Linked DNA regions of Xenopus tropicalis. The protein of the gene in region 3 interacts with the protein of the main gene of each other region in a pairwise test. Links are inferred from orthologs where the notes say so. Each region holds a gene or a part of one and is shown on either strand. Other genes may lie near its edges.

Region 1 (8,702 bases), on a different chromosome or scaffold from region 3:
GAACCTCAGCGAAAGTCGCACCGCTGCCTGTGTGAGATATTACTGGGAAAGCCGAATAGAGGGTGAAGGCAGAACAGTAGTGGGAATCAGGGTAGAAACTAGGTACTGCACCCAATGGGGAGGCAACAAGTGGCTGCGCATATAATATTTATATACCTATTGATATAACCCTCACCGCGCAGGAAACGCAAATATTGATAACCACCAGGTTTGGTAGTGCAGCATGGGAAGCCCTGAGTTCACCTGGGATCATTAACTCCTTGTAACCTCTGCAGTCCCCTTTGAAATACACGTAACAATTTATACTGCATCTAAACATATTTCCCCAGCCCTTGTAGATCGCCGATTTTATTTAAAACTGCTTGCTAACAGTGAATTTGATATTTTTGTTAATTGCTAATTTGTGAATTCTGTTGTAAGTAGATCAGTCGCTCTGTTCTACAACATTGTAGCAATTAATGCAGGGGTTTCTAGTCATTTTATAGACTAACGTAAAATGTATCAACATGATTAAATGCATCAAATGTGAAAATATTTAGTCACCTCATAAGAGGTATGAATTCTAGAACACTCGGCTCACCCCAAACAATTGTTTGTTTTCTGTTGTTTTGCATATAAGTCCATCTTTTAGTTTGGAAGTAAATCATCAGAATTTATCTTGTCAAAGTCAAGATTGCCTGTTTGGATAAAATGTTATTAGCTTGGAATAAATGAATACAGACAGTGTTCGTTTATCCTTTCTATCTCATTAACACGTGTGTCATTTGAGCAGATAAATATTTCTAATCCTAACAATCAGACTGCTGTACACACAATGCACCCAGTGACTGACTTAGGACCTGCTCACAATGACACTGCTTACTTGTAGCCAGGGGATTGTTTCAACAGTCTGTTCTAGCTTGGGTCCGGATAACAGCATTATCCATAAACTGATCAAATGAGGTGGTCTGCAGCTCAGACAACCCGGCATTCTATCTGTTTTTGCGACTCTGCTGCGATCGAGGGGTTTATAAATTTTTATTTGGTTTAACAAGGATTTTTTTTTAAGTTACAAATACTGCTTAATAAAACACAATTGAATTATATATGACCAGAGTCTCTTTTTGTACTGTATTGTTTTTTATTTTAACTATTTCCGTCCCTTCAGTAATTTGAAACTGTTGTACACTTTACAGTAATCCCTTGCCGATGACAACCTGTAAGAAAAACATCTATGCAAAATGTTTGGATAAATTATACAATTAATCGTTTTGACTAGTTTTAACTGAGTACCATTAGCCAACGGTTTATATCCATGCACTTGTATAAGTACTGGACTGTTATGTCACTTTATACATTTATTTTTCATGAAATCACATATTTAAAAATGCTATGAGGTTGTTTCCTTTGCCTTGCTATTTCTGTTTAACAACTACAATTGTGAATTATTATTTTTTGATTACTCCCTATTCACTAAAATTGGGGACTTAATTACTTCCAAAAGTGATATTATCACTTTGCTAAACTTAAAAAAACGTGGTTTCGTTAAAAGGGGGCAAGTTATTGTACACTGCCATATATACAGCTAAATGCGCTTCTGTGCAGTAGTGGCTTTATATTGTTAGCTCATTGTTTTTAAACAAAAACACATTTTCTTACATTCTAACTTTCTGTACCGACATTGGATTATTTCACCCACATGCCATTTTAAATTACAGTGCTTTTAGTGCCAATATGAGCTATTAGCACTGGAAAAAAGGTCAATAAATACTGTACATTTTTCTTTCTAAAATAGTATTTACACATTTGTAAGAAACATTTAAATTCCATCTTAAAATTAGGAAATATTGACCTCTAGTGAACGTGTCCCTTATCTCAATCACTCCCTTCTCAATACTATTAAAGAATCAAATTACTGAAGGGGTAAACAATGGGTTTCAAAATGGGATGAAACCTGTGTGCAGAAAGCTATGTTTAAAGGATAGCTAAAATCTTAGCCATAATGCAGTGATACAGGTGCCAAGACATGATCTGACTGTCTTTCCAAAGTACCAGAGTATCTCCCATTGTGCCACAGCCAAGGACAATACCCATCGGCCCTTTAATATTTGCGCCATAACCTATATAATGCCAATAACCTTAGGTTTAGCTATATGTAATTAACCAGGTTCTCTGGTTGACCATAGGAGATCCATTTCACACTGTTCCCAGCACAGCAGTGAAAAATAAGCAGCCAATACTGTGCATTTTTTTGTTTCTCCTTTAAATATGAGATAATATTCCAAAACACCAACAGAATTTACTCAGTTTTACTAATTAAAATGTATATTTGTATATACTAAAAAGTTTCCAGGCCAATCACTGCAATTAGTTTTTCTTAAAGATCTGTCACTTTTTTTGTACAACTGATCTTTTTAAACTATTTTGATGTTTCTTTGTCTAAATCATATATGTATGAATAAGCGTTTATATTTGCTGTGGGTTATTATATGTGTATAACAGTGCATATATGTATTTGTGTTTCTGGGTATGTGTAATTTTAATATGTGTTTGTGTATATAGATGTGAATGTGTTTATAAGTATGCGGGTAGGATTGTATTGCTTGCATAAGTCTGTGTGTATAAATGTCAATGCGTGTAACTGCATGTAAGTTTCTGTGTGTGTGTAAATGTGAATATATGTGTGACTGTATGTGTGAGTGTCTGAATGTTTCAGTGTGTTTATATGTGTGAGAGTTTTTATGATTTTCGTTCTCTCTCTCTCTCTCTCTCTATTTTAATTGCACTTCATGGCTTCTTGCTTAACAGGTCCAAAGTTCACTTAAAGTTTGGCCGATAAACAAAACCAATAAAAGACTTTGTAGTCGAAGCATAACCAGGGAGAATCGAGCCCAGCCTCCTCCTTTCATTGCATCCTGTATGTTGTGTTAGCCTTCCCACTGATTTGCATGAGTTATATTGCCCATTGAAGGAGATCATGGCCAGTTAGACTGAGCAGACTCTCAGCAGTGAGATTCTCTGTAAGCACAAGAGGAACAGGTGCTCTGGGACAAGGGGATTCCAGATCCCTTGATTTTATTTTTTCCTCCCCTATCCCTTTTCCTTATTTTCTTTCATCTAAAATGGTATCCAAGCTATCGCCTTTGCAGCAGGAACTCCTCAATGCTCTCCTCAACTCTGGAGTAACCAAAGAGGACCTGATCCAGGCCTTGGAAGACATGATCCCCAGCCCAAGCTTTGGGGTGAAGCTGGAAAACTTGCACATGTCCCCGGAACATGAGGCTGACAGTAAGCCTGTATTCCACACTCTCACCAATGGGCACCACCACAAGGGCAAGCTCTCCGGGGATGAGGGCTCAGAGGATGGAGATGACTTTGATACCCCTCCAATCCTAAAAGAACTGCAGTCCCTCAATACGGAGGAGGCAGCAGAGCAAAGGGCAGAAGTGGACAGGATGTTGAGGTAAGAGCCCAGGGACAGCCGTATTATATTTTAATCATATTTAGCATTTCTAAACCAGGACTCGTTTTGAAAGCACAGTTTTGTTTCTAGGAGTTTAAACACACGATTTACTTGTGCTATTGATGATCATATTGACAACCCCAGCATAAATGTGTGTCTCTCTATAAATATCGATCTATTTAGCTAATTTCTCATCACAGCGCTAGCATCCCTTTGTTGTGTTGTATAGTGAAATTGTAATTTTAATGGCGCTTAGGATACTGACCAAGATGTCCAAATATATCTATAGGTTAGATATAAACGTAATTTTTGGTACTAAAAAAATGATTGTATGTCAAATGCGTATAAAAAAGCCAGACATTAATGTGGCTTTTGATAAACAAGATTTCGTTCAACACAATTTTACCAAGTGCACGATTTTTAAAGTTAGAAATGTTTTTAACATATAACAGCATTTCTCTAATTTTTGGAACAAGCGTTTTTTGGTGTAGGTACCACATCACTGTCAGAAGTTAAAGGCAACCGCCAGATCTCCTAATCTGACAGCCTAGTTACTAATTATCCAAATAGTTTATTATTCCTTCTCTTCAGCAAAATATCAACGAAATACAACCACGTTATTTATTATTAACTACTGGTAGTAACTTAAAATGCTAATACTATATCGGCAGGCCTGATTAAGTTGTGTACTTTCCCAGAGGTAAGTTAGCTTCGCTCCCATGGGGTTTACAACTAAATATATGTCTAATGTACCTGTATGGCATTGTTCTGTAAATATATTGTAGGTATAATTGCACATATGCCTTTATTGTATAATTCGAATTTTGAAAATGGTATATGTAAGTTTCTATTTTTATAAATTGTTACTATTAGTTTTGCAACAAAACGAGACAATATTAAAACATCAACATCGAACACTATCAATATTATTGGAGTGGTACGAAGGCCTTGGAAACTTCGGCAACTTTAGAAATGTTTTAAATTTATATTTTCTTGTACTGTAATTTAGTATAGGAACATGAATAATATATATATTTAAAGATAATATTAATACACCCATTTACTATTATCTGTATTACGTTACATTTTATTAAATTACACAAAAATCTACATGCAATACATTGACCTCTAAACTGCAACAGTGTTTTAATTTACGGTTGTTTATCCGTTGTGTATCTGTAGGTATCTTTAGATGTAACGTAATTTAAAGCAATATGTGCAGGTTATTTTGCTGGAGAGAATACATTATAAACTGAAGCACGTGGTGTCCGGTTATTAATTTATTTCTATAAATCATCAACAGAAAGATACACAAAGGATTGGGGTTTGGTTGAATAGAGACGCTGGTTATTCATTGGCAAGTGCTAGAAGGGAAAGCTCTTGGGGCAGACTGCGCTGGGTGACAGCATCAACATTATATACGATTTATTGGCCTTTGCTCGTATTTATTCCGATGTCTGGTTACAGGCAGAGTCTAGCCTTTGCCACTCTCATAAACAAGGTATCTCTTATTTTAAAGTGGATCATTCTGTGTGCTTTTACATATTATTTGTGGAATGTTACTGAATGGCTACTGCAGGTTTCATAGAATTGGAATTTCCGTTTCCGTTTTAGTTGGTACCTGTATCAAGGGGTCGATAAAAACTATCCTGTTATAAAGTAACTCGGAGCTGGCAAGCTGCTTATTCACCAAAACTACTCGATACACAAAGGAAGCAATGACCGAAATCAGTTATTTCTTTATGTGTTTGACCGTGAGTCCTGAATAGACAGAGGACACACCTTGGGGGTCACTCATGAATCAGTCGTGCGTTGCTATTAATATAGAGCTTGGCAACGATCAAACGATCTCTCTGGAAAACCCCTCAGATTTTCAGTCTGATCGCTTATTAGCAGGCGACTACAGTATCTCAGTTTTATTCTTAATGGAGAATGGCCACCTTTAGCCATTCAGATACTGCAGCTGCAACGTGTCTTCTTAGCTTCTCAGGTGGCGCGACTGTAGTTGTAGTGCAACTGCATGACACGCACGCTTGCATTAAACTAAGGAAAGCAATGATAGGTTTATGTTTTGTTGTTTCACTATAACTCGTGTGCACTGCTCACATACAGTAAGGTTCTTCTATAGCTGATTCTCCTTGTGTCCTCTCTGCATAGCTATTGTGAAATAAGGAGACTTACTACCCTAATATAGCGCCATATAGCTAGTTGTAGTCTTTGTATAGTCCTACACAGGTAAGTGCTCGGGCTTTGGGTCTTTGCTTTCTGTTTGATTGTTGCCGACTGTTTGCAGAGGCTTTTTTTCTGGCAGCTGAGAAAGGACTCATGTTGTATATTTTGCAGGTGTGTGTGTGTGTGTGTGCCAGCTGCCCGTGTGTGCTTTAGCCATATGCTCACCTTTCTACACACTCAAGTTAGATCTCTAAACTCCTGCCTAGTCCCACAGTCTAAACAAATATACACCTACTGCGCAGAAATACTTTCCTGCAGTCAGTCTGATTCTGTTCCATGATTATAAGTCAAATGGACATTGGGCCATGCATGTAGTGTATGAGTGCATTCTCCTTAGATAACTTCCCAAGCAGGACAGCAGGAAAAAGAAGGAGCATATTTTTCTAAATTAAATACCTTCTGCCCCCATAAAGCTGTAAGTCTACCTATATCTCTATGGATTAAGAAAAAGAGGTTAATACATTTACTTAGTTTGTGGGAAAGGTACCTTAAGCTGAAAGCACCACTGGGACTAATAGGAATAAACAATCTCTGTTAAATGTATGTATGTAAAAATTCTGAGTAACATGTTGGTCCTACATGAATAAAAGGATAATTCAACTTCTAGCAGTTAACTTTCTTTTCTCTGCTTATGTTGAATAACTACTCCAAATTCTACAAAATTGAGTCCTCCAAGGAAGGTTATATGTTTTGTTTAGTGCTACTGACGTGAGCAGGAAATAATTTCATAGTTGGTAAGTGGAATAATTATACACTTTCAGAACTAACTTTTTTAATAGTATAAACATCTTGGACAGCTTTTCTGATTAATTTCCAATCAATTTCCATTAGCAGAGAAGTGAGGTGTTAGGACCACTGTTTAATGATACTGTGCAGTCCAGACTAAATTTGCCAGAGCAGGTGCTAACTGGCCTTCGGATTATATTATATATTATATTTTAATGTAAATTCTGCAATTCTTCAGACTGAAGAATTGCAGAATTTGCATTAAAATACATATACAACTTTCATAAAAGTAAGCAACCTGTCAGGATTATTAGCAGCATGGAAAAGTTAGGAAAACTATAATGCAAATGGCTGCAGCTTGCACCTGTTTGTTCCATAAGGCTATATTTATTAGGACTAGAACTTATTGATAAGTCAAGTGAATGATTCTTTATGAAACATATAATCCGAAGGCCAGTTAGCATGTTCATGCATAAGAAGTTTGGAGGAAATTTCCTCCACATTCATTGATAAATAAACCCTATTTATGAACATAGCTGCTAAACTACACAAGTAGCAACCAAGCAGAGCTTTGCTTTAATTTTTTAGCTTGTAGTAGACTGTTTAAAACTAATTGCTGATTGGTTGCTCTTGGCAACTGCATTTGTGCAGTTTAGCACTTATGTTTGTAAATCAGCTCTTTGTCTGCTGCCACACTTCCTCTTTGTGTGCAGATGTGAACCATTCACAATCACACCCTCTATGACATACTGAAAGAATTGCCTCAAAATAGATTTGGCTAATTAATTAACATTATCATTTCTCCTTGCAAGCTGTTTTTGTTTTTAACAACCACATTCATACTTGCTTTTGTTGGGTGGTGTTAGTAATGTGTTGAGTGCAATTCTAAAATGCTAATTGTATTTTTGTGGATGTAAAGAGCCATTTATTTTTGTTTGTATATTAATGAGAGAGTCATACACCTGCATTGCTGTGCATGGCTACAGTTCAGCTTAATTTTGTAAAGAGTAATATAATTTCATCTGCTTGTTGGGGCGGAGCATACTGCTTGGCAATCAAGTGACATTTAGCCACTTATCAAAAATAGCAACAGTCCTTTCTTGTTTTCTTGCAGCCATTAGTCTCACTAAAAACTGTCAGCTGAGGTTTCTACGGAAGGAACATGTGTCTTGTGGTCCTCTATAGTGGGAGCATTCAGCTGAGAATTCAGAAGGAAGAAGAATAGTAAGAAAAAGAAATAAAAAACACAGCAATATAGAAAATAATCTTGTAAAACCTTAAATTGTAACCTTTATATAATTGGGTATTAATATGTAGTTAAAAAAACATAATATACATAAAATCCGTACAATGTTCTAACTGCTTACATGGATCAATTATTTTCTAGCTTTTCTAGGCAAAAGCTGCATGATATTTGTTAAATCGATCTGCAGGCTTTAAATGTTAAAGAATAGCTACTGCATTAATTAGTATTAACACTCTAATGGTCATTAAGAAGAAAAGGTCCAAAAGTATGCAAACAATATAATATTAATAATAACAACAGCAATAATAAAAAAACTAAATTACACATAATACTTGCTAAAACATTTGTGTAAAAGCCAAACTATTCATAGCTTTGAGGCACTTAAACTTTCATGCTTTTCTTCTTTACGACTGAACTTAATAAGCATAGTTTTTTTTTCTTTTCTTCTGGGTTCACTGGTTTTTGCAATATAATTTTTTTGGCCTTGTTTTGTTGCTTACTGGAAAATGGGCCTTTGGCTTGTACTGTGTGTAACTATAAAAGTTACAAAAAGTGTGTCCCATGGAAGAATTTACTGGTCACCTGTTTTAAAACAAGAATGTGATTGGATGCTATGGGTTACAAGCCCTGGTGGAAAATGTGTATTTCTATCAACTGTAGTTGACAAGGAAAGACATAATGAATATTCCTTAACTTTTGTGCCACTTTTGTGGAATGGAAAGCCTGTCCTGGAAGTTAGAGCAGTGGCAACACTTTTGTTCAACTGTCTATCTCTCTATCATATTTCCTAACTGTAGCTGATTAGATAATAAACCATGTGGAGAATATTTTATATTATTCCAGAGGACTATGATAACAATGTCAATATTAATCATTTCAGTGTATTTACTAGAAAGTAAAATCAGGTCTTTAAAATAATACATTTTACCCTTTAATCATAAATTAGCATGTTCGGTAAACATGACTTCATAATGCGGAATTTCCCCCTATAGAGTATGGATGGTTAAACACAAAGGCAGAATGTCACAAAGTGCAGGACATTTGCTGTACTTGCAT
Region 2 (7,045 bases), on a different chromosome or scaffold from region 3:
GTTAGATGTAATTAACCTCTGTCTTAACTATATTTTAAAGTCACTGACAACGGAGAAAATAGCCACAGTCCCCAATTTATGGTAGTTGAGTTTGAAAATAGACACATCCATCAAGTTCAACCTTTTTCCCAGCTAAATGCTAACTTTTAGATGATTCAGAAGAAGGCAAAATGAACTTATTTGAGTTAGTCTCCAGTTTGCCACATAAAGAGAAAAAAACCTTTATAGCTTCTAACGGGCAATTAGGCCTATCCCTGGACCAACATTGTGCTTGACTGAATAGTATTTTCTCACTAAAAGGGCATCTAATGTATCTGCCAATACACATGCTTTAGGAAGGAACTCCAATCATCCAAACCAGTGCTGTCCAACTGGTGGCCCGCGGGCGGACCCCCCTCTGTGTGGCCCCCCACCTGTCTGGCTGCTTTGATGGCTTACCTTTGTGTAAACTTAAAATAGTATCAGTACTGAGATTAACTGCTGTAATCCCCCTGTATTGTTTAAACATGTAATCCCCTGTGTTGTTCACACCTTTTAGTTTCTGCATTGTTCACCCCTTGCAGTGTTCACACCTCAGGCTCAGGCTGTAATCATCCACATTGTTCACCTGTTCACACCTCAAAAATTGTATGTAATGCCTGGACTATGCTGCCTGTGAATATGGCACACACAGACAGCATAGGGTAGGCAAAGTATGGCACATAGGCAGTATAGGGTAGGCAAAGTATGGCACATAGGCAGCATAGGGTAGGCAAAGTATGGCACATAGGCAGTATAGGGCAGGGAGGGTATGGCACACACAGACAGCATAGGGCAGGCAGAGTATGGCACATAGGCAGTATAGGGCAGGGAGGGTATGGAACACACAGACAGCATAGGGCAGGCATAGTATGGCACATAGGCAGCATAGGGCAGGGAGGGTATGGCACATAGGCAGCATAGGGCAGAGTATGGCACATAGGCAGCATAGGGCAGAGTATGGCACACACAGGTAGCTAAGGGCAGGCAGAGTATGGCACACACAGGCAGCATAGGGCAGGCCGAGTATGGCACACACAGGCAGCATAGGGCAGGCAGAGTATTATTATTATTAACATTCATTTATAAAGCACCAACATATTCCACAGAGCTGTACAATAAGTGGGTTTCATACATTGGACATACAGAGTAACATATGAACCAATAACCGATACAAGAGGTGAAGAGGACCCTGCCCAAAAGAGCTTATGGCACAAGGGAGGCAGAGTGCTGTCTGTGTGCCATACTCTGCCTGCCCTATGCTGCCTGTGAAAGGTGAACCTGGCAGGGGTTTGTTCTGGGAGTTTGTTAGTAGTTGGAAACAGCCATTAAATGGTCCCTAAGGTGTGTAATTATGTTGCTGAGGGTTGCTGTGCTATCCACAGGGGAGGAGGAGGCATATGGATTTAAGGGTGTGTCTTAATATGACATAATATAATTCTTTCATATATGAATAACTGGTGATATCCCTGGAGTGAGGACCAAACATTTGGGTTTTTGCTGCACTACCACCATTGTGATAAAATGGGTGTGGCTCGAAGTGGGTGTGGTTCAAAAAAGGGGGAGTGGCCAACACTGGCTTCAATTAGCGGCCCTCCACCATGTATGCTAGAGAAATTCCGGCCCTCGGCACCGCAGAAGTTGGACAGCACTGATCCAAACGATTACAGACACTTTATCAAGTAACTCTGCATCATTACAACTCTACCTCCTTAAGCTCCTATTCACCATTGAAAACAGTTACAACTGTCCAGCCTTTTGTTTAGAACTAAGAACTTGGATACCTCATATCAGCCTATTTGCTCTACTCTGGGCTCTTTTATTTTGAGCAATGTCTCTTTTAAAGGAACAGTAACACCAAAAAATGAAAGTGTATAAAAGTAACTAAAATATAATGTGCTGCTGCCCTGCACTGGTAAAAGTTGTGTGTTTACTTCAAAAAGTCTACTATAATTTATATAAATAAGCTGCTGTGTAGCCATGGAGGCAGCCATTCAAAGGAGAAAAGGCACAGGCACATAGCAGATAACAGAGAAAACACTATTGTATTCTACAGAGCTTATCTGTTATCTGCTATGTAACCTGTGCCTTTTCTCCTTTTTTCCAGCTTGAATGGCTGCCCCCATGGCTACACAGCAGCTTATTATATAAATTATAGTAGTGTTACTGTAGCAAACACACCAGTTTTACCAGTGCAGGGCAACAGTGCATTATATTTTTATTACTTTAAAGCTCTTTCATTTTTTGGTGTTACTGTTCCTTTAAGTATTGCAGACCAAACCGTCACTGCAGTTGCTTGATGGGACATTACCAGTTCTCTGTAAAGGGGGAGAATCACCCTCTCTTCCATGAACCCTAAGAACCTCTGTAAATTTATACTCATAAAATACGGGACAGTACGTTGCTGACCCTTTCTGCTTCTGATTGGCTTTACTTCCTACAGCTAAAGTTATTATCCACAAGTAATCTGACCTTCTCTATAAGTGACTAAAGGTCACTTCAGACAGCATATCTGCCCGTGTATGTGCCTGCCTATGGGATGACTGGCAGGCCACAAGTATCCAAACCCTATCATGTTATAATTTCCCTTTAAGAACACAGATTGGGGTATGGCCTAGCAGTTGGGTAGGTGCTTCACAACATAACAGGCATCATCAGCAAAACTGGTCTAAAAAAATCTTACTCTCCATTGGACTCCGCCACTTGGGGTTTAGCAGGGATAGCTCTCTAGGTTTTTTCAAAGCCAGCACAGAGAGTTATCAGTCAGCTGTAGCCTATACAATAAAACCCCCATTTTACATTTTAGGGAACCAGTAAAAATTGGTGTAAAAACCAGAAAATATAAAATCGGGAGAAATTAATTATATATTGGTGGGACGTACTTCCCCCAAAGTGATTGTGAATAGTATATTTTCCTTCTGCTTTTTATTTCTACTGATAATTATTAGCCGTGCCATTGTCTCTCAGGCTAGCCACCGCCTTTATTATTAATTCTCGTCACCTTCCTACAGTGTTACAATCTTAGATTAAAGTGACCTTTCAAGATACAGCATTTTAGTGTAGCACATATGTGTTCTTCCAGTTTAATTAGATTTCCATTCCCTTAATTGTTTTTCTTTCTAGAATCCACAATGAACTTGGGCGATTTTATCAGCATGAACCCTGAGGTTGGATGGGGCACAGTATATTCCTTGGCAGAGTTTACAGAACGCTTTGGTGACGCAACAGTCTGATTCACAAATCATTGAAAGGTTTTGTGAAAGCAGCAATGCCCACTGTGGCTGAGGAAGTAAGAAGCCATTGTTCTTAAAGTTTCCAGTCCACATGATTAATTCATCTCTCCGAGTGTTCCAGGAGTTGCACTTGGGTGTCAAATTCAGATAAAATGAATTTAATCCCTGTGCCTGCCGGATTAAGCAGTTCCATCTGAAAGCTCTACTTTATATACAATGTTTTTCACCAGCGCTGGCAGTAATTGGTACTTTAAGGGCAACTATACCTTCAAATATTGCAGCAATTACGGCAATACATAACGGTGGCATATTTTTTATGGTATGTTTCTGCTGGCTATAGAAAAACATAGGGGACAGTCTTGCAGAATTGTGTAGGGATATCTATTCTGCCACAGTTATACGCTGTCTCTGTGAAGCTTAGGAGGCTGTTCCTGCTGAATTGTAGGGCACTAATTGCCAGAAAAAATTCAGATACATTTCAGGCTGCCACAAGCCTTTTATCTACCTTGATTAGTGCTGTACAGCACTGCAGCAATACAACATTGACTGAAAATAGGTGTCTTGGTATGTGCTCCTTATTGGCTGAAATAATTTGGACTGGTTACTGAAATGAAGTTAATGAAGGGGAGCAACCATGACTGCATACTTTTATATAATGTCACAGCAATATTTGGGTTGTGGTCAGTCCATTTACAACTGACCATGACCCAGTAACGGTATACCGCGCTCCTGATCTGTCAGACCACATCCCGTTCTGTCCTTTCGTTTGGGATTATAATATAAATTAAGACGGCTGTAGTGAAATATTGTGGCAAGCCAGCCTGAATAGAAGATGTGGCTATAATGGGAAGAGGAAACACGAATAGCTTCAAAGTGACGCAAATAAAATCAACATATATCCTAATATCCAAGAATTTAATATCCTAACCGGAAGAAATATAGCAAAAATTGTCTAGCAGAGCTCCTGGATCTGTTTGCAAAAACAAAATTCTTGTCCCCATTCAGTCACCATGATGGCTTAGTTTATAGGGTTAATATGCAGTGACAAGGGTCAGGATTGCTCTGAATGAAACCGTATTCATTTGCCCATGTTCTTAAGAAAAGTCTGTTATACAGTAAGTGAAATAAATAAGCACAATAAAAGATGTCCTATATGAAAGTAAAAAAACACACAAGTGAAGCTCAATTTTATTGCTTTATTGATTTAGATGTATGGCGAGTACCATATGCCAAGAGAATTATACTGATTTACAAATACATATTGCCACGTTTTTATTCTTTGGGTTATTGGGTACATTTGAAGTGTAAGAAATATGGTAACTGATCTCATAGGTTTGCACAAATCTGACATTTCTCCACTTGAGGTTTGAGAAGAACAGCGGCTGCCACTTTGAGTCTTCAAAATGTTTTTGGAAGAGAAAGAGATTTTGTTGCAGCGCTTCATTGTGTAAGAGCTGGGAGACCCTGGGGATGGAGAGTAGAACCTTTTGCACAACATATTGGAAAATGGATGGAAGGCTCAGTGACAGATGGAACACTAACCAGAAATAGGGCTCAGAAAAGAATATTTTTATCATTAGATTACTGTTAAGGGTTCGTTTATGCATAACTCATTTTTATTGCCATTTTTATCAGACATCAGGATTCCCATACTACATGTTTTACACAAATCTCTGGAGCGTATTTAGCAAAACGAGAGTGAAAACATGCCCCAGATTTCTCCAAAATCCTTCAGCCCTCCATCTGAGCATATAGTCCTATAATTATCTTGGGCGCATTTTTCTGGAAATAACTGAAACAATGATTGTGCCACCTGTAAGCAGAGAGTGGCCCCTCAGTGTATGTAACTGGTGGGGCTGTAGGGGAATCATTGGTGATGGGCGTTCACTGTAGGTACCTACAGAAGCCAGAGAGGCGTTTTCTTGTCCCTAGTTAGGACTGTCTGTGGATAAATACAGGTATGGGATCTATTATCCAGAATGCTTGGGACTTGGGATTTTCCGGATAAGGGTTTTTTCCATAATCTGGATCACCGTTCACAAGTCTACTAAAAAATAATATTAACATTAAATTACCCCAATAGGATTGTTTTGCCTCCAATAAGGGGTAATTATATCTTAGTTGGGATCAAGTACAGGTACTGTTTTATTATTACAGAGAAAAGGGAGTCATTTAACCATGAAATAAACCCAATAGGGCTGTTCTGCCCCAATAAGGGGTAATTATATCTTAGTTGGGATCAAGTACAGGTACTGTTTTATTATTACAGAGAAAAGGGAATCATTTAACCATTAAATAAACCCAATAGGGCTGTTCTGCCCCCAATAAGGGGTAATTATATCTTAGTTGGGATCAAGTACAGGTACTGTTTTATTATTACAGAGAAAAGGGAATCATTTAACCATTAAATAAACCCAATAGGGCTGTTCTGCCCCCAATAAGGGGTAATTATATCTTAGTTGGGATCAAGTACAGGTACTGTTTTATTATTACAGAGAAAGTGGAATCATTTAAAAAAAAAAAAAAAATTATTTGCTGAAAATTGAATCTATTAGTACATTAATCAATGGACCTCTTTATATGAACCTGTTATTACAGAGTAACATCAGCTGTTGCACACACAAGGGGAGGCTTGTGTTCATGGGGGCCCCATATGAATAACTTGTATGGAGCCCCAAAGTTTCTGATGGCGGCACTTTATGCACCAGTATGGGGTACTTTAAGTCTCAGCTCCACATTGCCATGCTCTCCTGGTTCCCCAGCAATCTTCAGTCCTGGAGCTTGCACAGTACATACCTTGGCAAAAAAATTCTGTACATGGCATTTGCTTGCCCAGGCGGCACTGATGATGGAGAGACCAAGGTGTAAGTTCAGCTAAAGTCTTGCCTGTACTGGTCCCAGTTGGGCTGGTCACAACTTTCCTTTTTTTCTCCCATATGGAACAATTAGGTGCTGCCCATAAGGGAGAGATATGACAACAATGGAGGCAGAAACCTAAGCCATCATAGACTCGCACCAGCAGGAATATAGAAATACATAGTTGCCATTGTATGAATGGATCTAAGACCAATACAATAGCTTTCTGAAGAAGAAAAACATTCTAAATAGGTTCCCTTCCCTCTGGAAAGCTGGGCCTTGCTTGCTCTGCAGTATTGAAAGGAACTTGGAGCGATTAGGGATGGAGCGATTGGAGTGTGTCCCCTGTGAAAGGATTAATTGTGAGAAAGTTCCCTGTAAGTAACGTATTGCTAATGGGAAAAGTACTAAGGGAGAGAGTAAGTTCAATATGGCTCCTTGGTGCTTCTCTTAGGCCAACAACTTTTTTGTCACTGAATAAAGCTCAATAAACATATCTCCTACAAACATGTGTTTGGAAGGATTCAGCATTTCCATATTAACTCCAGACTGGAGTTGGCAGATTAATCTAAGGAAGATTTTATTTTTTTTTACTAGTTCAAGCCCCCCCTGTCCAACCACTGTCACAACTAACACAGCAGGGGGTGCAAGGTGAGCGTAGCCCACTGATAAGGTTACTGTACATTATCCCTTATAATACATGAGTGATACTCAGAGTTCCCTGTATAACTCAGCCTGCAGCCTTGTGCCTTTATATGGGCACAGAACCCCTCAGTGACTGCTAATATCCTTATCATTTACAGTAGGGGGTACATTATCCCTTATAATACATGAGTGATACTCAGAGTTCCCTGTATAACTCAGCCTGCAGCCTTGTGCCTTTATATGGGCACAGAACCCCTCAGTGACTGCTAATATCCTTATCATTTACAGTAGGG
Region 3 (8,574 bases):
TAAAAAGATGAGAATAAAATAAACTTTAGCAAATTCTAATTACAGTACTTACACTATACACTAGGTGGCACCAGAGATTAAAAAAGCATGCCTGGTTTCTTGCATATATTTTTTTCTTTGCCTGTTTTTGAATAGATGTCCTGAAATCTAGAGACCGGAATTATTTGTTGATGTGGCAGTAGGATTGTCGCCTCATCCGAAAAAAATACAAGCTTTAGTATGTTGTAATCCTTTTATTGGTATTAAGGATCATTTTTACCGATCAGGCTCAGGGGCACTAATGCATAAGGCAAGTTGAGAGACTTGTCCAAGATGGCAGCGCCCCCAGGATTGGCAAAAAGGCTGCTCCTATTAACTTTAAGCAAAAATTAAGTTTTCTCCAGATCTGCACTAGTAATATGCCCCCCACCGGAAGCCCTCTGCCACAAGAAAATATACACGATTGGGGGCAGTATCACAGGATCTTCCTCAGGGTAGCTCTGGGGGCAGAAATGCCCCTGATCAGGCTGGTAAAGTACCGTCCAGGTAGAAACCCTTTTTAGGAGTAATGTATAAGGATCATGCAACATGTTACAAATTTGTTTACATTTTGTCTGTGGAAAGTTTCACAAAAAACATGGTGGCTTCCCGATGCCCCTCTTTTCTGCTACTGAATTAGTGAATGTACATTACAGATGTTCTGGACTAGTACAGGTATAGGATTTATTATCCAGAATGCTTGGTAGTGAACCTAAGTTTTTTTAGATAAGGGATCTTTTCGTAATTTGGATCACAATATCTTGAGTCTGCTAAACATTTAAACATTAAATAAACCCAATAGGATGATTATGCCACCAATACGGATTCATGCAGCTTAGTTATCATCAGGTACTGTTTTTTTGTTATTATAGAGAAAAAGGAAATATTTGTAAAAATGTATTTATGGATAATAGGTTTCCAGATAAGGGATCCCATAACTGTAGAAGATACTCTGCGATATGTACACATCTTAGCTCAGTCACAATATTTTAACCCAAGTAATCGGCAGCAGGCTAGGCCAGTTCATTGGAAGGGTTTCTTAATGTGCTGCACCCCTGAACCTGAAGTGCTGACATTCAGAACATAAAGCTTGAATTTTCTTTATCCACCCACATTAATCTCCTACCCTAATCTTGCCCATTGCAAAGATGACATTTTCTCACAGTGGGGATCCTAATACACACAGGATGGGTTGCCATCCATTTATGTATGAACAGTGAAGAGAACATAGGTAGGAAAAACATGGCAACCCTACTAGGTGGCTATTTGGCATGGTAAAGGTGTGTGCCACTAACACTCTCTGGAGCTGATCTATGCAACAGAAAAGAAATAATAAGATTGCACTGAGTTCATCTAAAAGGGCAATACAGTTTTGACCTATAAATATATTGATTAAATGCAGAAAGGTCTTCAGCATAATGAATAGCTGTGCAAGGCTACAGGTAATTGTTCCCCCAGAGGCCAGCAAAGCATAAGTGTAACATGGAAAGAAAGCCACGCAGAGAAGGGTGCAAATATAAGAACACCATAAGGTACCATGAACACCTTGGCAAGGTATTCTGCTAATCAATACACAGTATTTGAAATTGAAGCTTTTACTTTTCAACCCTCAGTTATTAATGCTGAGTGTCAGGGTCAAACTAGGCTGGTGGAAATCTCAGTGGGCCCCGTCCCTCATGGAGCCCAGCTACCCCACGCACGCTTCATGCCCTGGATCTGTAAGGCAAGGGTATTGGTTTGTGGCGAGCGCTAGAAGAGATATGTGGTTGGGGGAGAGTTTAGAATTGGGGTGGGGGCCTTCATGGCTTGGATTGCTGGCCCCTAGTGGGCCCCAAACTGTAAAGTGTTGTTAACATCCATACACCCATGTACCTCAATACACCTTGTAGATTTTCAGCATTATAATGGCACATGCTCTGTTTTAAGCCACAAAAAAAAAGCCCTGGTTTAAGTGTTTTTATAGAGTGGTGAGAACTGTTTTGAGAAATGAACTACATAAAGCTGAAGTATAAAACGCCATAATCTGCTGAATGGTTCCAGTCACAGATTATGCTGAATGAGTAATCCCACCAATGCAGGGGTGGATAAATTATTCCTTTGACTCTGGGCTGTACCCCAGCTCTGCCCCTTATCCACCCCCGCCCAGCCCTCTTCTTTAATTGTGGCAGGGGTGCCCGAGATGAAGGTCCCTGGGTGGCTGTCTGTATATGGCTGGATTGTCCAAATGTGAATCAGCCACTGCACCAGCTTGTAGAGCTCCGAGTGGACTTCATGCATAAACTTACATTATTATGTCACAGGGAGTTTATGCCAGAGGAGGGGTAAAAAATGTTACATGCACACCAACTGATCACATCACATTTGGGAGGAGTTCACCTTTAAATTAATTTTAGTATATCATAGCGTTTAACCAACTTTTCACCTGGTCTTCATTATTTTTTTTTTTAAATCTTCTAGCTCTGCTTATTTCCAAAATAACAAACGGTGTACATGGGTTCAGTTTTATTGCTTTTTATATTTTTGAATTGTTTTTCTTATTCATCTTCCATTCCACTAAACTTCTGCCTGGTTGCTAGAGTAGTCAAGCCCTAGCAACCAGATAGCAATTGATTACAAGCCAAAGAGCTACAGAACAAAAACCATATAACTATAAATATCTGAGAAACCATATCAATTTAAAGAAAATTGCAAATTTTCTTAGTATAGAGACCTGCTAATGTCAGATACAATAATATGCAAAAGCTTTGTTTCATGTTCCGGCTCTTGTTGCTCTGTTTCTTTTCTTGTTTTTTTTTACTTTATTTTTAAAGTTAATATCACATTACTTTCATACAGTCAAATCAAAAATCCCCCAGGAATATCTGTAACTGATGGGGCTAGTCAGTAGTTCTAAAAAAGAAACATGTCGCCTATGTGTGTAAGGGCAACGCTGAATCACCTTCCCTGCCTCAGTGAGGTCACAGCCCCACGTGTTTGCATTGGGCGGACCCTTCAGCCACGCCCCCTGCCCGTCTCTTAGCTGGAGAAGCAACAGCTGAGCTGATTGTGCTGGGGAGACTGAGACTGCAGATCCACTAGTTGCTTTTGGAGACATGGTAAGGTGATGCTCAAATCCAATTATTAGATGAATATTGCAGCAAATGGAAAAATAAGTCGGCTGCTGTAATTATTGAAAGGAAAAACAACACAGCAGAGGAGGCAAAGTGCGTTAGTTAATGAGTAGCTATGGGAGCAATGTAGCATGATAAGCCAAGGGAAATGAACTTTGCTATATATTCTCTTGCTAGAGTATCTATTGGAACCTGTAGCACTAAATATGAATATTTTCACTCTATGTGCTTATGGCTTCTCAAAAATGAGTTATGGTTGTGGTTTTGTTATTGATGTGTAGCACAGTTAAGGTAAAGGACTTATTTGTGAATGAATTGGCCACTGCAGTAGGTCGGTGTGATGCCCTTGTTACTGATAATGCTGTAGCCCAAAAATGCCCTTTTTGCAGGCTTCTAATTAATATAATCCACTGTGTCTTTGAAGATGCTGGAAGGTGTAGTTTAATGTATGTTTAGTGCCTGTTAAGAACTACAATTCCCAGCATTCTGCACCAGCTTTAGAAGTGCATTGGTATCAGCTGTATTTCTCAATATCTGGAGGGCAATAGATATGACAGAACCTATTTAAGTAAATAACAAGTTATTTCACTGTGTGTGTTTTGTACAGTCCATAGTAGACTCCATAGATTGTGTGCAAGAGCTTTGTCCATAGCAGAGTATTGCCTAATAGAGGAATAAACCTAATTTAAAACATGAGTGGCACATCTGGAGTCATTTTTCTGAAAGGATAGTTGAAAGGGAGCAAAAATGAAAAACACATGTCAGTCACATAGGAAAGGTTATCCTACTGCTCGTTTGTGTTTATGTAAGCTTTATCCTGTGTGTATGTTCATTTTAACAATCCGCCCACAATAACAAGTCATTAAAGGGGATCTAAACCCACCAAAACCGATGCATAATGAAAATGTAATTAGAAGCAACTTTCCAATGTGCATTAAGATGCCCAACGATTTTAATAGATTTATAAATGTAATTGCTATTTAAAACAATATTCGTTTATCCTTGTTGTTTTCTGACATTTTAGCAGATATCTGTTCTTGTCTCCTTAATCAGTGTGCATCTGCTGCATTGCTTTAGGAGTCAGAACCAGTGGTGAAGAAAATATAAGAAGACAGACAGGAACTGCTTTTAATAAAGCATATGACTGATACATACAAAAGGGGTTTCTTAAAGGAACAGTAACACCAAAAAAATTAAAGAGTTTTAAAGTAAATGAAATATAATGTACTGTTGCCCTGCACTGGTAAAAGTTGTGTGTTTGCTACAGTAACACTACTATAGTTTATATAAATAAGCTGCTGTGTAGCCCCGAGGGCAGCCATTCAAGCTGGAAAAAAGGAGAAAAGGCACAGGTTACATAGCAGATAATGGATGCTTTCTGTAGAATACAATAGTGTTTTATCTGTTATCTGCTAAGTGCCTGTGCCATTTCTCCTTTGAATGGCTGCCCCCATGGCTACACAGCTGCATTCTTTATATAAACTATAGTAGTGTTTCTGAGGCAAACACACCAGTTGTACCAATGCAGGGCAGCAGTAAATTATATTGTAATTACTTTTATACACTTGAATTTTTGGTGTTACTGTTCCTTTAAGGCTTTTTCCTAGGTTATCTCTTTCTGTTGAGGATAGGCTCCTTGTATGCTTCCTCCCATGGCCAAATAATCAGTTCATATGGTTTACAGCACTGCCTCTATACTAATGACACTTAGGGGCTCATTAATCAAAGTATGATAGCTTTTGAATAAAAAAAAAAAATCTTATTTTTTTTTAAGTTAATTTGTGTGACTTTTTCTTACTTTGCGAGAAAAAGTGCAACAGCTTGTGCGGCAAAATCATATTTGTCGCTCCGAGTACAAAAGTTTTGGATTCATTCAAGCTTCGGTATCGTGACTTTCCTTGGGCCAGGTTGGAGCTGCAGAGTGCCATTGAGTTCTATGGGAGACTTTCCTTGGGCCAGGTTGGAGCTGCAGAGTGCCATTGAGCCCTATGGGAGACTTTTCTTGGGTAAGGTTGGAGCTGCAGAGTGCCATTGAGCCCTATGGGAGACTTTCCTTGGGCCAGGTTGGAGCTGCAGAGTGCCATTGAGCCCTATGGGAGACTTTCCTTGGGCCGGGTTGGAGCTGCAGAGTGCCATTGAGCCCTATGGGAGACTTTCCTTGGGCCAGGTTGGAGCTGCAGAGTGCCATTGAGTCCTATGGGAGACTTTCCTTGGGCCAGGTTGGAGCTGCAGAGTGCCATTGAGCCCTATGGGAGACTTTCCTTGGGCCGGGTTGGAGCTGCAGAGTGCCATTGAGTCCTATGGGAGACTTTCCTTGGGCCAGGTTGGAGCTGCAGAGTGCCATTGAGCCCTATGGGAGACTTGCCTTGGGCCAGGTTGGAGCTGCAGAGTGCCATTGAGCCCTATGGGAGACTTTCCTTGGGACGGGTTGGAGCTGCAGAGTGCCATTGAGCCCTATGGGAGACTTTCCTTGGGCCAGGTTGGAGCTGCAGAGTGCCATTGAGTCCTATGAGAGGCTTCCAAAATCATGCACGATCAAAGTCAGAAAGGTTTTCCCGCTGTTTACGATCGTTCGTATACGAAAATTTCAGGACTTTTGGATCACCAATCCGATATTATCGTGACTAATATGATTTCTCCTAATTATTCTGTTATGTCACATATTGACAACATTTCACTACCAGTCTGTAACTACCTCGCAACATTTGTCTCCTATGATTGTTCACATATAAATTTATTTTTATTCTCACATAGGCTACTGGCAAATGGAGTGGTTGTTGTGCAGGGGAGAAACTCTAAAAGTGCCCCTGCTGGCACCCATTCCTTAGATAGAAAGCACCTAAAAACGCCAGTGCAGTAAATTTCTATCCAGAAGACAAGCATTTGGATGTTTTCAGGCCAATAACTGTTTGTGCTATATGTTTTGTACCGGTTTCCATTAATGGAGAACTAAACAAGTAGACTAGAAATGTTGTACATTATCTCTGCTAAAACACACTTGGAGACAATTAACAGTATTGTCTATTTTGTAGTCAGGGCAAGTAGCTGGCTTCAAGTAGCTCCATGTGTTAAAGTAATTGAAATATAATGTACTGTGGCCCTGCACTGGTGAAACTGGGATGTTTGCTTCAGGAACACTACTATAGTTTATATAAATAAGCTGCTGTGTAGCCATGGGGGCAGCCATTCAAGCTGGAAAAAAGGAGAAAAGGCACAGGTTACATAGCAGATAACAGATAAGACACCATTGTATTCTACAGGGTTTATCTGTTAGCTGCTATATAACCTGTGCCTTTTCTTCTTTTGAATGGCTGCCCCCATGGCTACACACCAGGGTTTATATAAACTCTAGTAATGTTTCTGAAGCAAACACACAATTTTTACCAGTGCAGGGCAGCAGTACATTATAGTTTCATTTCTTTAAAATATATACATTTTTTTCTTATTATTATTCTTAGTGCCCCCCATTTTCCAAATGCTACTTCTCCTACAGTTTTAGGGGTACAACACCCAAACTCCCCACACATCTTCGCCCTATAGCAGAGCAGGTTGCTTTTGCTTTTCTAAGCGATCCCCCCCCCCCCCGTCTTTTTGTGGCGCCGCTCCGAACACCCCAATTTTCTCTGACTTTGACAGGGAAGATTTTCAAACTGCTACCACTCTTACAGCTACACTCCCCAAACTTGATTAACATAATAATGGGGTCACCCCGAATGAAACCGCGACATTTGTTGGATGACCCCAAAGTGGGAGGGGCCAACAACAGCCACTCAAATTTCACCCATTGACTTTTATGGGGAAATTGAAACTGCTGCCAATCTTACAGCTTTGAGGCTACACTCCCCAAACTTGAATCACACAGTCATGGGGTCAGCCTGAATGAAAATATGATGGTTGTTGGATGCCCAAACGTGGGCGGAGCTGTGAACAGCCAATCAGATTTTACCTATTGACTTGGTGGAAATCCAACCTGCTGCCATTCTCACAGTAATAACACCGGGGCCCCAAACTTTGCAGAGTTAGGCACAAGGAAAGAAAAAGTGGGTGGAGCCACCAACAGCCAACCAGATTTTACCTATTGACTTTCAATAGGGAAATTCAACCTGCTGCCATTCCCACAGTATTAACCCCAGGGTCCCCAAACTTTTCACAGTTGGTCACTAGGGGACTGCAGCTTTAGTTTTGAAAAAAAAATGGGCGGAGCCACCAACAGCCAATCAGATTTCACCTATTGAATTTTATTGGTTTGATGCCAGGGTACCCAAACTTTGCACAGTCAGTCACTGCGTGACTACGTAGTCAAAGTTAGGAAAAATGGGCGGGGCCGCCAAAAGCATATCTTTCAATGTTTTCAGTGGGGAAATTTTAACTGCTGCCATTCTCACATGCTTAATGTCAGGGTCCCCAAACTTTGCACAGTTTGTCACTGGGTGACTATGTTCCAAGTTTAGAAAAGTGGGCGGGGCCAACAACAGCCAATCCGATTTCACCTATAGACTTCATGTGTTTAAATTTAAACTGCTGCCATTCTTTAAATATTAAAACTAAGGTCTCCAAACTTTGCAGAGCTAGTCACCAGGTAACTGCGGTTCAGAGTTTGGAAAAGTGGGTGGAGCCACCAGCAGCCAATCAGATTTTAACTATTGGTTTTCAATGGGGAAATTCAACCTGATGCCATTTTCACAGTATTAACACCAGGGCCATTAGGGGACTGCATTTTTAGGTGTTAAAAAGTGGGTGGAGCCACCAACAGCCAATCAGACTTCACCTATTGAATTTTTTTTGTTTAAATTTAAAATGCTGCCTTTCTAACACTATTTATGTCAGGGTTCCCAAACTTTGCAAATTCAGTCACTGGGTGACTACATATTCAGGGTTAGAACAAGTGGGCGGAGCCACCAACAGCCAACCCATTTCCACCCATTAAATTTCATTAGTTTATATTTAACTTATGCCATTATTTAAGTATTAATTCCAGAGTTTTTAAACTTCCCAGAGTTACTCACTGGGTATTTGCCGTTCAAAGTTAGCAAAAAGTGGGTGGAGACACCAACAGCCAATCACATTTCACCTATTTACTTTCAATGGTGAAGTGTAAAATGCTGTCAGTCTCACAATTTTTATGTCTAAGTTCCCAAACTTTGCACAGTTGGTCACTGGGGGACTGCAGTTCAAAAATAGGAAAAGTGGGTTGGGCCACTAACAGCCAATCAGATTCCATCCATTGAATTGTATTGATTTAAATTTAAAATGCTGCCATTCTCACACTATTTATGCCAGGGTGCCCACTGTTTGTCACTTGGTGACTTCCACTCAAGGTTAGAAAAAGTGGGTACACCCACCAACCACAATTTACCTGTTGACTTTTATTAGTTTAAATTTAAACTGCTGCCGTTCTGTAACTATTAATCATAGGGTCCCCAAACTTTGCAGCCACCAACTGCCA
Region 4 (8,603 bases), on a different chromosome or scaffold from region 3:
GAGCTGCAGAGTGCCATTGAGCCCTATGGGAGGCTTTCCTTGGGCCAGGTTGGAGCTGCAGAGTGCCATTGAGCCCTATGGGAGGTTTTCCTTGGGCCAGGTTGGAGCTGCAGAGTGCCATTGAGCCCTATGGGAGGTTTTCCTTGGGCCAGGTTGGAGCTGCAGAGTGCCATTGAGCCCTATGGGAGGTTTTCCTTGGGCCAGGTTGGAGCTGCAGAGTGCCATTGAGCCCTATGGGAGACTTTCCTTGGGCCAGGTTGGAGCTGCAGAGTGCCATTGAGCCCTATGGGAGGCTTTCCTTGGGCCAGGTTGGAGCTGCAGAGTGCCATTGAGCCCTATGGGAGACTTTCCTTGGGCCAGGTTGGAGCTGCAGAGTGCCATTGAGCCCTATGGGAGACTTTCCTTGGGCCGAGTTGGAGCTGCAGAGTGCCATTGAGCCCTATGGGAGACTTTCCTTGGGCCGGGTTGGAGCTGCAGAATGCCATTGAGCCCTATGGGAGACTTTCCTTGGGCCAGGTTGGAGCTGCAGAGTGCCATTGAGTCCTATGGGAGACTTTCCTTGGGCCAGGTTGGAGCTGCAGAGTGCCACTGAGTCCTATGGGAGGCTTCCAAAATCATGCACTGAAGGTTCAAACTCAGAAAGGTTTTTCCGCCGTTTAAGATCGTTCGGATACAAAACTTTTCAATACCAAAATTTCGGATCGTAAGTACGAAATCTTAGTATTCAAACAAATGGAATATTCGGGACATTTGCAATCATCAGAAATTATCAGATTTCGTGATTCAGATTCGTACTTTAATGAATGTGCCCCTTAAAGTGTATTTTGCCTTCACACTGTATGATGCAGAAATGTGTAAAGGGAATTTTTTTTATTTGGAATAATAATAATAATTGAAAATGGTAGTTTATGCCTTTGGCAAACACACCTAAACACAGGCCAAAAGTCATGCATGTAATGTTTAACCTTTAAAGAGATGTTCATTATAGACACTACAGTGCTGACACGACAATGTGTAAATTCTGTGTTACCTGACTACATGTAACCCTATGGAAATCACGGTATCAGCTTCAGCTACTTTGCTAGCACTTGAAGGGTTAAATTAAAATATAAAGTAAAACTGGATTTATGGGGCAAACAAAGATGCTTATTAATACTGACTAGAGAATAGAAAAAATTGTAGGATGCATGAGGCACATACCCATGTACAGATTGCACTCACCAGTTTCTTTCGAAGATATAGCACCAATCTGCACCCCCTGACTTATACATAGACTGTTGTTTTTAGGAGAAGATGGGTTATTGCTGTTTTATGTTTATATTGTGAGCAGATATTTAAAAACTGAAAACGCATCAAGAGAAAACTATTTTTTCTGTTGTGTTCCATTGCTGACAACCAGGGTTGGACTGGGGGGTGAAGGGCCCACCGGGGCTCCTGTTCCAGAGGCCCTGCAGGTGCCCCCAGCCAGGCGCATCCCCTAACCCCCCCCGCAGGGGCCCCCCTAACCCACCTCGTAGGGCCCCCCACCCGACGTCCTCCTCCAAACGCATAAATTTGACGCATCAGGGGAGGAGTGGTCGGGAGGGGTAGCACCAGCTAGGGTCGGGTCTGCTGACAACAGGAAAAATCTGAATAAATCTATGTCTCAACTCTGTGCAACTGCGTACAAACCAGGCACAAATGTACGGAAATCCAGTTTTGTCATGCGAGTGACGTCTGTGCCATATTCTTTAGGCGCAAGTGTGCTGCACCTTTTAACACTGTATGCAAAGGAGCCTTGAAACTAATGTCTGGTCAGAAGCTTCAGGGTTTCTCTGTGTCAATAGGTGCAGCAGCAGCAGTTGGAACAGAAGGCAGAAAGGAATTGTGTTGAGGAGTGGCTCTGAGCACAATTATACAGAAGTGGAAGGAGCACAATTTGATGCAAGTACCTTTAATAAAAGTGGTTTTACATGCAACTAACTGCTGGCAAAATATGGGGACCACAACTGCACTTGCAAGTGTTACACATATCCTATGCTATCCTATGGTGTAATCCAGGCATTTGTCCCTATTACCCCCAAGAGCTGGTGGGCCTCAGGCTGCTCTCATAATTTTCAATTTTGTTTTTCATTTTACAGTGACCCTTGTTGTGATGATGCCATCTAGAGATCTTGGTAGTGACAGCTGAAGCCGCAACTACACAATAAAGTGCTTAGACTTTTTATTTACTTAACACTATCCCTGCCAGGACACCCAGCAGTAGCAGCAAGCAGCAAGCACAGCATGCTACATTTAAACAAAGTGGCTGTGCTTATGCAAGGTGTGAAAAGATTAGTTGTTTTCCATGACGGAAGTGTTTTTTTGAGACAAGTTCATTCCTGGGTGTTGTGGTGCATAGCAGCACATGTACAATATGCCACATGCCTCTTCCCCTGCAGTAGCTTGCTGACTGACCAGGGCACCCAGAAGTCATTGCCAGCTGACGATTTGTAGCAGTAGTTCTCTACTGTATATCTTTAAGTTAAAAATCCACCATTTGTAAGATTGAGGAGATGCAGTACAAGCAGTGTCGGACTGGGGGGTGCAGGGCCCACACACAAGGTACCCCGCGTCCCCTGCACCCCCTGCCACCCGCCAGACATCCTTTCCTGAACGCGAGTAAGTGAAACGTGTCAGGTGAGGACATCGGTGGCCGGGAGAGTGGTAACAGGGATCGGGTCTGACCCAGTCCGATCCTGAGTACAGGAGGAGAGAAATACCATTCTGCTACATTGTATTTTTCACTCTGGCGAGTAATACACTTAAATATTTTAAATCCACAAATGTGGATTCCACATGTGCTTTTATTATATATGAACAGAATACCTGTAAGGTCAGAAAAGCGATGTACCTCCAGTATACTGTAAATCAATAAGACACCGTTGTTATTGTCTCTATGACTTCCCTTGTTAACAGAACTATCTAACTGGGGAAGAGATTAAATTCCTAACTAAAATTATTTTAACCCTTTTAGTGTGTGGATAATCACACATTAATGTTAGAATTACAGTTGTATAATGCCTTTAATTAAACCATTAGGTTAAAAAAAAACAAAACAAAACATAAATAGACCAATATTTAAAAACATCAGGTAGGGTTTTATTAAATAAATTAAAGTAGTCACTTTCCTTCTCTCCTTGGTGCCTTCCTCCCAGTGTCTTTCTTTCGAGTTCCCCTTGCGATATTTTTCTCTATGCATTTATTTATTGTATTTGATAAATGTGTGTTTTTTCAACTTCAACTACTAGGTTACTATGTATGTGTATTCTCCATGTAAGTTCTTTCAGGTTTCAGCCACTCACAGCTTTTTTTCTCGTCTCTGTTGCATTGTCCTTTACCTGGTGGTTTGTGCCACTTTCACCTTCTCATTCTCTTACTTTTACCATATTTCCTAATATTTCTCTCTTAAACTTTTGGAATTTCCTTCTCTCTTCTACCCCTCCTCATATTCCTCTGCACTCCCCCCTCTCTAACTCGTGCACTTTGTGCAGAGTTGGGGTCCAAAGTTCAGTAACTTGCAAAGCACAGGGATAAATATGAACCTTGGAGGATTTACTCTGCTCTGATGTAAACAGAGAGTGACAGGGGTCCCTTATCTATGTCTCAGAGAAGCCTGTCCGGGGGGTGACCACTTGCTGGTTGTGGCTGTACAGTGTGTTTTTTGGGGGGAGGAGGAAACAGAAGGTGGGTAGAGCATGGACTCCCGCCCGCTGATCCGTGTTAGAGCCGCAGGATGGTGAGGCAGTAGAAGGCAACAGCGAGGATGGCGTCTCAGCTCAGTTACCTGCAGCGAGAGCTTCTTCGGGCTCTGTTAGAGTCTGGGGTGACAAAGGAGGCTCTGAAAAAAGCATTGGCTGATGGTGAAGATTACACATATCCCAATGTCCCTTTGGATGATATTAGAAACCTGGACGAGGGAGAGAACTGTGTGCAACTACCTAATGGGTTAGGGGATCCTCAGATATCAGAAGATGAAAGTTCTGATGATGGTGGGGACTTCACACCACCCATTATGAAAGAGTTAGAGAGGCTGAGCCCTGAAGAGGCTGCTCATCAGAAGGCCGTGGTGGAACGTCTACTGCAGTAAGACCTATGTGCCTCTTATGCCTTCTCTATATCACCTAGTCCTACACTTGATATCCTTGGTTCTCTGTCTTGTAATCTTTCACACTATTTTTCACTCCACCTTCCCTTTTTCTATCCATATTCCCAAATCTACACCCACTGTACCAACACTCACCTAAACAAAGCTCATTTCCCATAGAAGTTTATGTATTCCCTCCAAATTGGATGAAAAAAGTCGAAATCTTAAATGCCCCATTGGGATGACTGCAGTTCATAAAGGGGCATACCTATATCTTCAGTTGGAAAATTGGGTAGGAATCCCTGGTGAAACAAGTTTAACACAGACCAATCAATTTCTCCACCAAATCCCTCTAATATTCTCTTGCCAGCTGGGATGAAAGACAGTAAAAGAGACATTTCTTCTTCTCTACCTCAGGCATTGTTTGGTCCATTTTTACAATATTTAGCAATTTTGTTTATCTTGAAATAAGCCCATTGATATTTTCATGGCTTCTTTTATCTACTGCATTTATGTTTTGCTGGATAAAAAATCCAAATCCAGGGTATTGATCCTTAAGTAGTGTAAACATTATTTGCTTTTTAAGGTTCCTTTTTGCTTGCTCTTCTGGTATTGTCCATTTCTTAATGTTATCCCGTTCTTCCACTCTTTAGGGTGCTGTAAGTTCAGTTCCCTGTCTTCAGGTAGTGTGGGTTCTGCCGATCACTTGGGCTCAGGGGGCCCGCACTGGTTACTAATTACCCACATCCTCTATAATTTAAACATTTATAAACCAAATGGCCTCTACCTTTTGTGATGATTAACTTCTAATGGTTAACCCATCCGCTGCAATTATAGAATGTGCTGTACAGCAGGCCCATCAACCATGATAAATTCCATGTCTTGTTACTTTCCACTCCCAATATGCAGCCTAGAGGTTTGGAAACAACTGTAATTGCAATGTATTCTCTTCAGAGGTTTTGTATTAGGACATGCCTTGTCCCGGAAGAAATATTCAGACATGACCTTCTAATGTGCCCATTTTTCTCCTTTTCTTTCCAGACTTCTTTCAAATTCAGCATAGTTCAAAGTTTACATTTTCCTTTTAATGCTTTGCTTTGTAGCCATTGTTCTCTAGCACCATCCAGTCTGACAACTAGCCATGAGCCAGGCAAGGCATCTGTCTGTTTTGGGTCTCCTAGGATGAAAATCATTTCATATGGACTTTTCATTTAAATTGGTTGAGGTGCTATAAATTATCAACCAGCTTCTTGTTTCCTCTGAGTTGATAACTAACTAACTGGGTTACTTATTGTTCACGGAACAAAAGGGAGGTGAAACCGCCCTTAGAAATAACCTCTAAGGATGAGGCGAGGAAACGAGGGGCATCAGATTAAGAAAACATAAAAAATGTAGGGCACCATTGTTCCAACTAGGGTGAATTCTTATAAGACATTTCAGACTGAATAATTCTCATGCACTTTTATTAATTAACAAATGTCTTTTTATTTAAGATACCAGATAATTTTAGGATATACCAAATGTGTCATTGGTTTAACAAGGAGGCCTAGTCAAAGTTAACAAGTGCTGATTCACATTTAATCATAAACTGCCTGCTCGTTCTAATAACATGTTTGTGTAAAGCAATACACTTTTCGCCATGAACCCCTTGATTTTCAACTGGTCCATTTGGTGTTCCCTCCCCCAGGGTTTGTATGAAGCAGTCATTATTTGTTTATGAGTTGGACTTTGTACTGAGATAAGCTGGTATCGGCAACAGAGTGAATCAGCACCTGCTGTGGGGGTTGGGGACTGTGTTTTGTATGAAGGTTTGTGTGTCCATTAGATCCATTATAGTTTCTTATTCTTGCTCAGAATGTTGCACTGATCTAAACATCATGCTGGGCCAAATCTTGATCAGGGGGGTTCAATGATCATCCTGTGGACCCACTGAGACCTGGCTACATCAATGTGCCATTCCAGTCCTTGTCTGACAGGCTTTGCAAACCTTCCTAACTTTTGGTCAGATATCGGTTAGGCAGGCCTTCCCGAAGGCCTCATACACAGACTAATAAGCTGCCAACTTGGACAACATCTACTTAAAGGAGACCTGTAACCCTTAGAAATAATTAAAAACCCTCTTTTATTACTCTTGTATTCTTGTTTCCTTCAGTCTTAGAATTCACAATAAAGAGCAAGCAGGCAGGAGCCATTTTGTGGATACTTATTAACGCAAGCTTTGCATCATTCAAAAATCTGCTGTATGCACTGGAATATGGACTTGATGCACATACACAGCCTGCATAATTACATTATAGTGAGTAGGGGATGTGAGCAGTACAATGATGTCTTAAGTGCATGTTTATGACTGGGTGACAGGTCGCCTTTAAAAAATGCAGTTAAATCACAGGTCCTCATTTACCAGCAGTGGGCAAAAGGAAAATTAGATTAATTTGATATCTTTTTATTTCCAGAAGTACCATTGGGAAAGTTTGCACCTGTTTGTAAATCAAGCACAAATTGCGTTTACAATTTAGGTGGATATAGGTGTTATGATCATGTGCTCTTTCATGCCATTTGCATGCTTATCAGTTTGAGCAAAAGAAATAGCTTGTGCAAAATATACAGTGAACCCTACTTTTAAAAGATAGCAAGGGCAGTGTACCTTCTGTTACAATAAGTGCTAAGGCACAGTAGTAGTAAATGGGCACCTAGAGGTTTGCTTTGAGTAAACAAGACTCCCCCGGGTATTTATTATTCTGTAGGGGAAAAAAACCTCTCTGTCAAACTATAAATTACATTGCTGCAGTTTTGCTATTATTTTCTTTATTGTGCCATATCCAAAAAAGACAATGGCACTGTCACTGGTAAGGTAGGGTATATAGTTAAGCATGAAGACATACAGAGCTACTAGTAACAGCTACTTTTAGTGGCTACAGAAACAGACAATCCTAATCATTTACTAATAATTGTCTATAAGTGTGTTTTAGCAGAGGCGATTTTCAGTATTGTCTATAGCAAGGTATTTAGTAGCCATGACAAGTAGCTCCTACTAAGTAGCTCTGTGTGTCCTAAAATAGGCAGTATAAACACCTGTGCCTACATATAAACTTTATACAACTATATGCATCAAATGCAGGTTCTGCGTTAAAAATGCATAATTTATTTGCCATTTCCTTACTTCATGATAAGATAAATGCATCAGACCTGAACCATTATATATATATATATATATATATATATATATATATATATATATATATATATATATATATATATATATATATATATATATATATATATATATATATATATATATAAAGCAAGACAGTGAGCCGCACACACAGGGACTTAGTTAGAAAACAAAAAATTTTTATTAATGAAAAAAATCCAACGTTTCGAGCACCAACTGTGCTCTTCCTCAGGGGTTTTTCCCTGAGGAAGAGCACGGTGCTCGAAACGTTGGATTTTTTTCATTAATAAAAATTTTTTGTTTTCTAACTAAGTCCCTGTGTGTGCGGCTCACTGTCTTGCTTTATACATGTTTTTTGCAAGCACCCGGGGCAGTTGATTACTATTAGGGTGTGCTCTGTTTTTCTCTGTATATATATATATATATATATATATATATATATATATAAATATAAATATATATATATATAAATATATATATATATATATATATATATATATATATCTTCCCAGTAATTTGTAACATTCCACATTACCTTTCATCTCTACCAAAATGTTTACTTTTCTTCTCTCTAATACACTCCCAAACCTCTATCTCTCTATCCATATAATGGATCTCCATTGCTCTTCTCTCCTTACAGTATATAAAATGTAACTGCTGTACTTCCTTTCTCCATGATACAATTTTATTAAATCAGCTTCTCTCTCCAGCCTCTGGAGTCTATATCTAGGCCTCACCTATTTCAAGAACTACACCAAAATTAGAATTAGGGAATTTCTAAAGAAATACTATTTTTATATACAATATGCATAGATTCTGTGCAGACAAAAGGTTCTAGCCAGAATAACTTGAATGTGCACATTTATGAGGCTGGGCAAGTGACAGAGGTGTTGTATTTTAAATCCTCTCATCTGTTTTTTGTCTTCCCAAAAGATCAAATTACTTGCTTGCGCCCACTTTAACACTTGTTCAGACCACACAGCAATCACTTCAACAGCATGACATGGGCCATAGATAATGAATACCGGCTGGTAGTACAAATACAGGACTCAAATAATATAATGTCTGGGGCTAAGGAACAGAGCTGTCTCATTTAGGTTTAGGGAGCCTGTTGAGGTCAAGGCTGTATTGCATTTTCTACATCTTATTACCTCTGCTGTTAAACCTCTGCTTTCCATGCAGTTTAAACTGGTCACATGCAACTCTATTCCAGAACTAACTAAAACTAACTAAATGACCTGCAAATATTTTTCACCAGACATTTTCATGCCCAAATTACACTGATTGAGTTGTCAGGGTTACCTCTCCTCTCTATATGTGCTAAAG

The links.
Region 1: the proteins of pcbd1 (region 3) and hnf1b interact in binary tests that used the Homo sapiens proteins (3 or more experiments, as listed by UniProt). The link is inferred for Xenopus tropicalis from reciprocal best matches to the Homo sapiens genes PCBD1 and HNF1B.
Region 2: the proteins of pcbd1 (region 3) and wdyhv1 interact in binary tests that used the Homo sapiens proteins (3 or more experiments, as listed by UniProt). The two-hybrid records come from large-scale screens. The link is inferred for Xenopus tropicalis from reciprocal best matches to the Homo sapiens genes PCBD1 and NTAQ1.
Region 4: the proteins of pcbd1 (region 3) and hnf1a interact in binary tests that used the Homo sapiens proteins (3 or more experiments, as listed by UniProt). The link is inferred for Xenopus tropicalis from reciprocal best matches to the Homo sapiens genes PCBD1 and HNF1A.

The regions. Positions count from the first base shown.
Region 1 is NC_030678.2:74,714,625-74,723,326, reverse strand, and holds the start of hnf1b (hepatocyte nuclear factor 1-beta), read left to right. Parts: upstream 1-2,776; 5' UTR 2,777-3,101; coding exon 3,102-3,442; intron 3,443-7,516; exon of another isoform or gene 7,517-7,562; coding exon of another isoform or gene 7,563-7,624; intron 7,625-8,702. UniProt on the Homo sapiens protein: Transcription factor that binds to the inverted palindrome 5'-GTTAATNATTAAC-3'. Binds to the FPC element in the cAMP regulatory unit of the PLAU gene. Transcriptional activity is increased by coactivator PCBD1.
Region 2 is NC_030682.2:139,835,965-139,843,009, forward strand, and holds the end of wdyhv1 (protein N-terminal glutamine amidohydrolase), read left to right. Parts: intron 1-3,141; coding exon 3,142-3,251; 3' UTR 3,252-4,510; downstream 4,511-7,045. UniProt on the Homo sapiens protein: Mediates the side-chain deamidation of N-terminal glutamine residues to glutamate, an important step in N-end rule pathway of protein degradation.
Region 3 is NC_030683.2:47,451,767-47,460,340, forward strand, and holds the start of pcbd1 (pterin-4-alpha-carbinolamine dehydratase), read left to right. Parts: upstream 1-3,044; 5' UTR 3,045-3,110; coding exon 3,111-3,113; intron 3,114-8,574. UniProt on the Homo sapiens protein: Involved in tetrahydrobiopterin biosynthesis. Seems to both prevent the formation of 7-pterins and accelerate the formation of quinonoid-BH2. Coactivator for HNF1A-dependent transcription.
Region 4 is NC_030677.2:151,970,671-151,979,273, forward strand, and holds the start of hnf1a (hepatocyte nuclear factor 1-alpha), read left to right. Parts: upstream 1-3,661; 5' UTR 3,662-3,784; coding exon 3,785-4,104; intron 4,105-8,603. UniProt on the Homo sapiens protein: Transcriptional activator that regulates the tissue specific expression of multiple genes, especially in pancreatic islet cells and in liver. Binds to the inverted palindrome 5'-GTTAATNATTAAC-3'.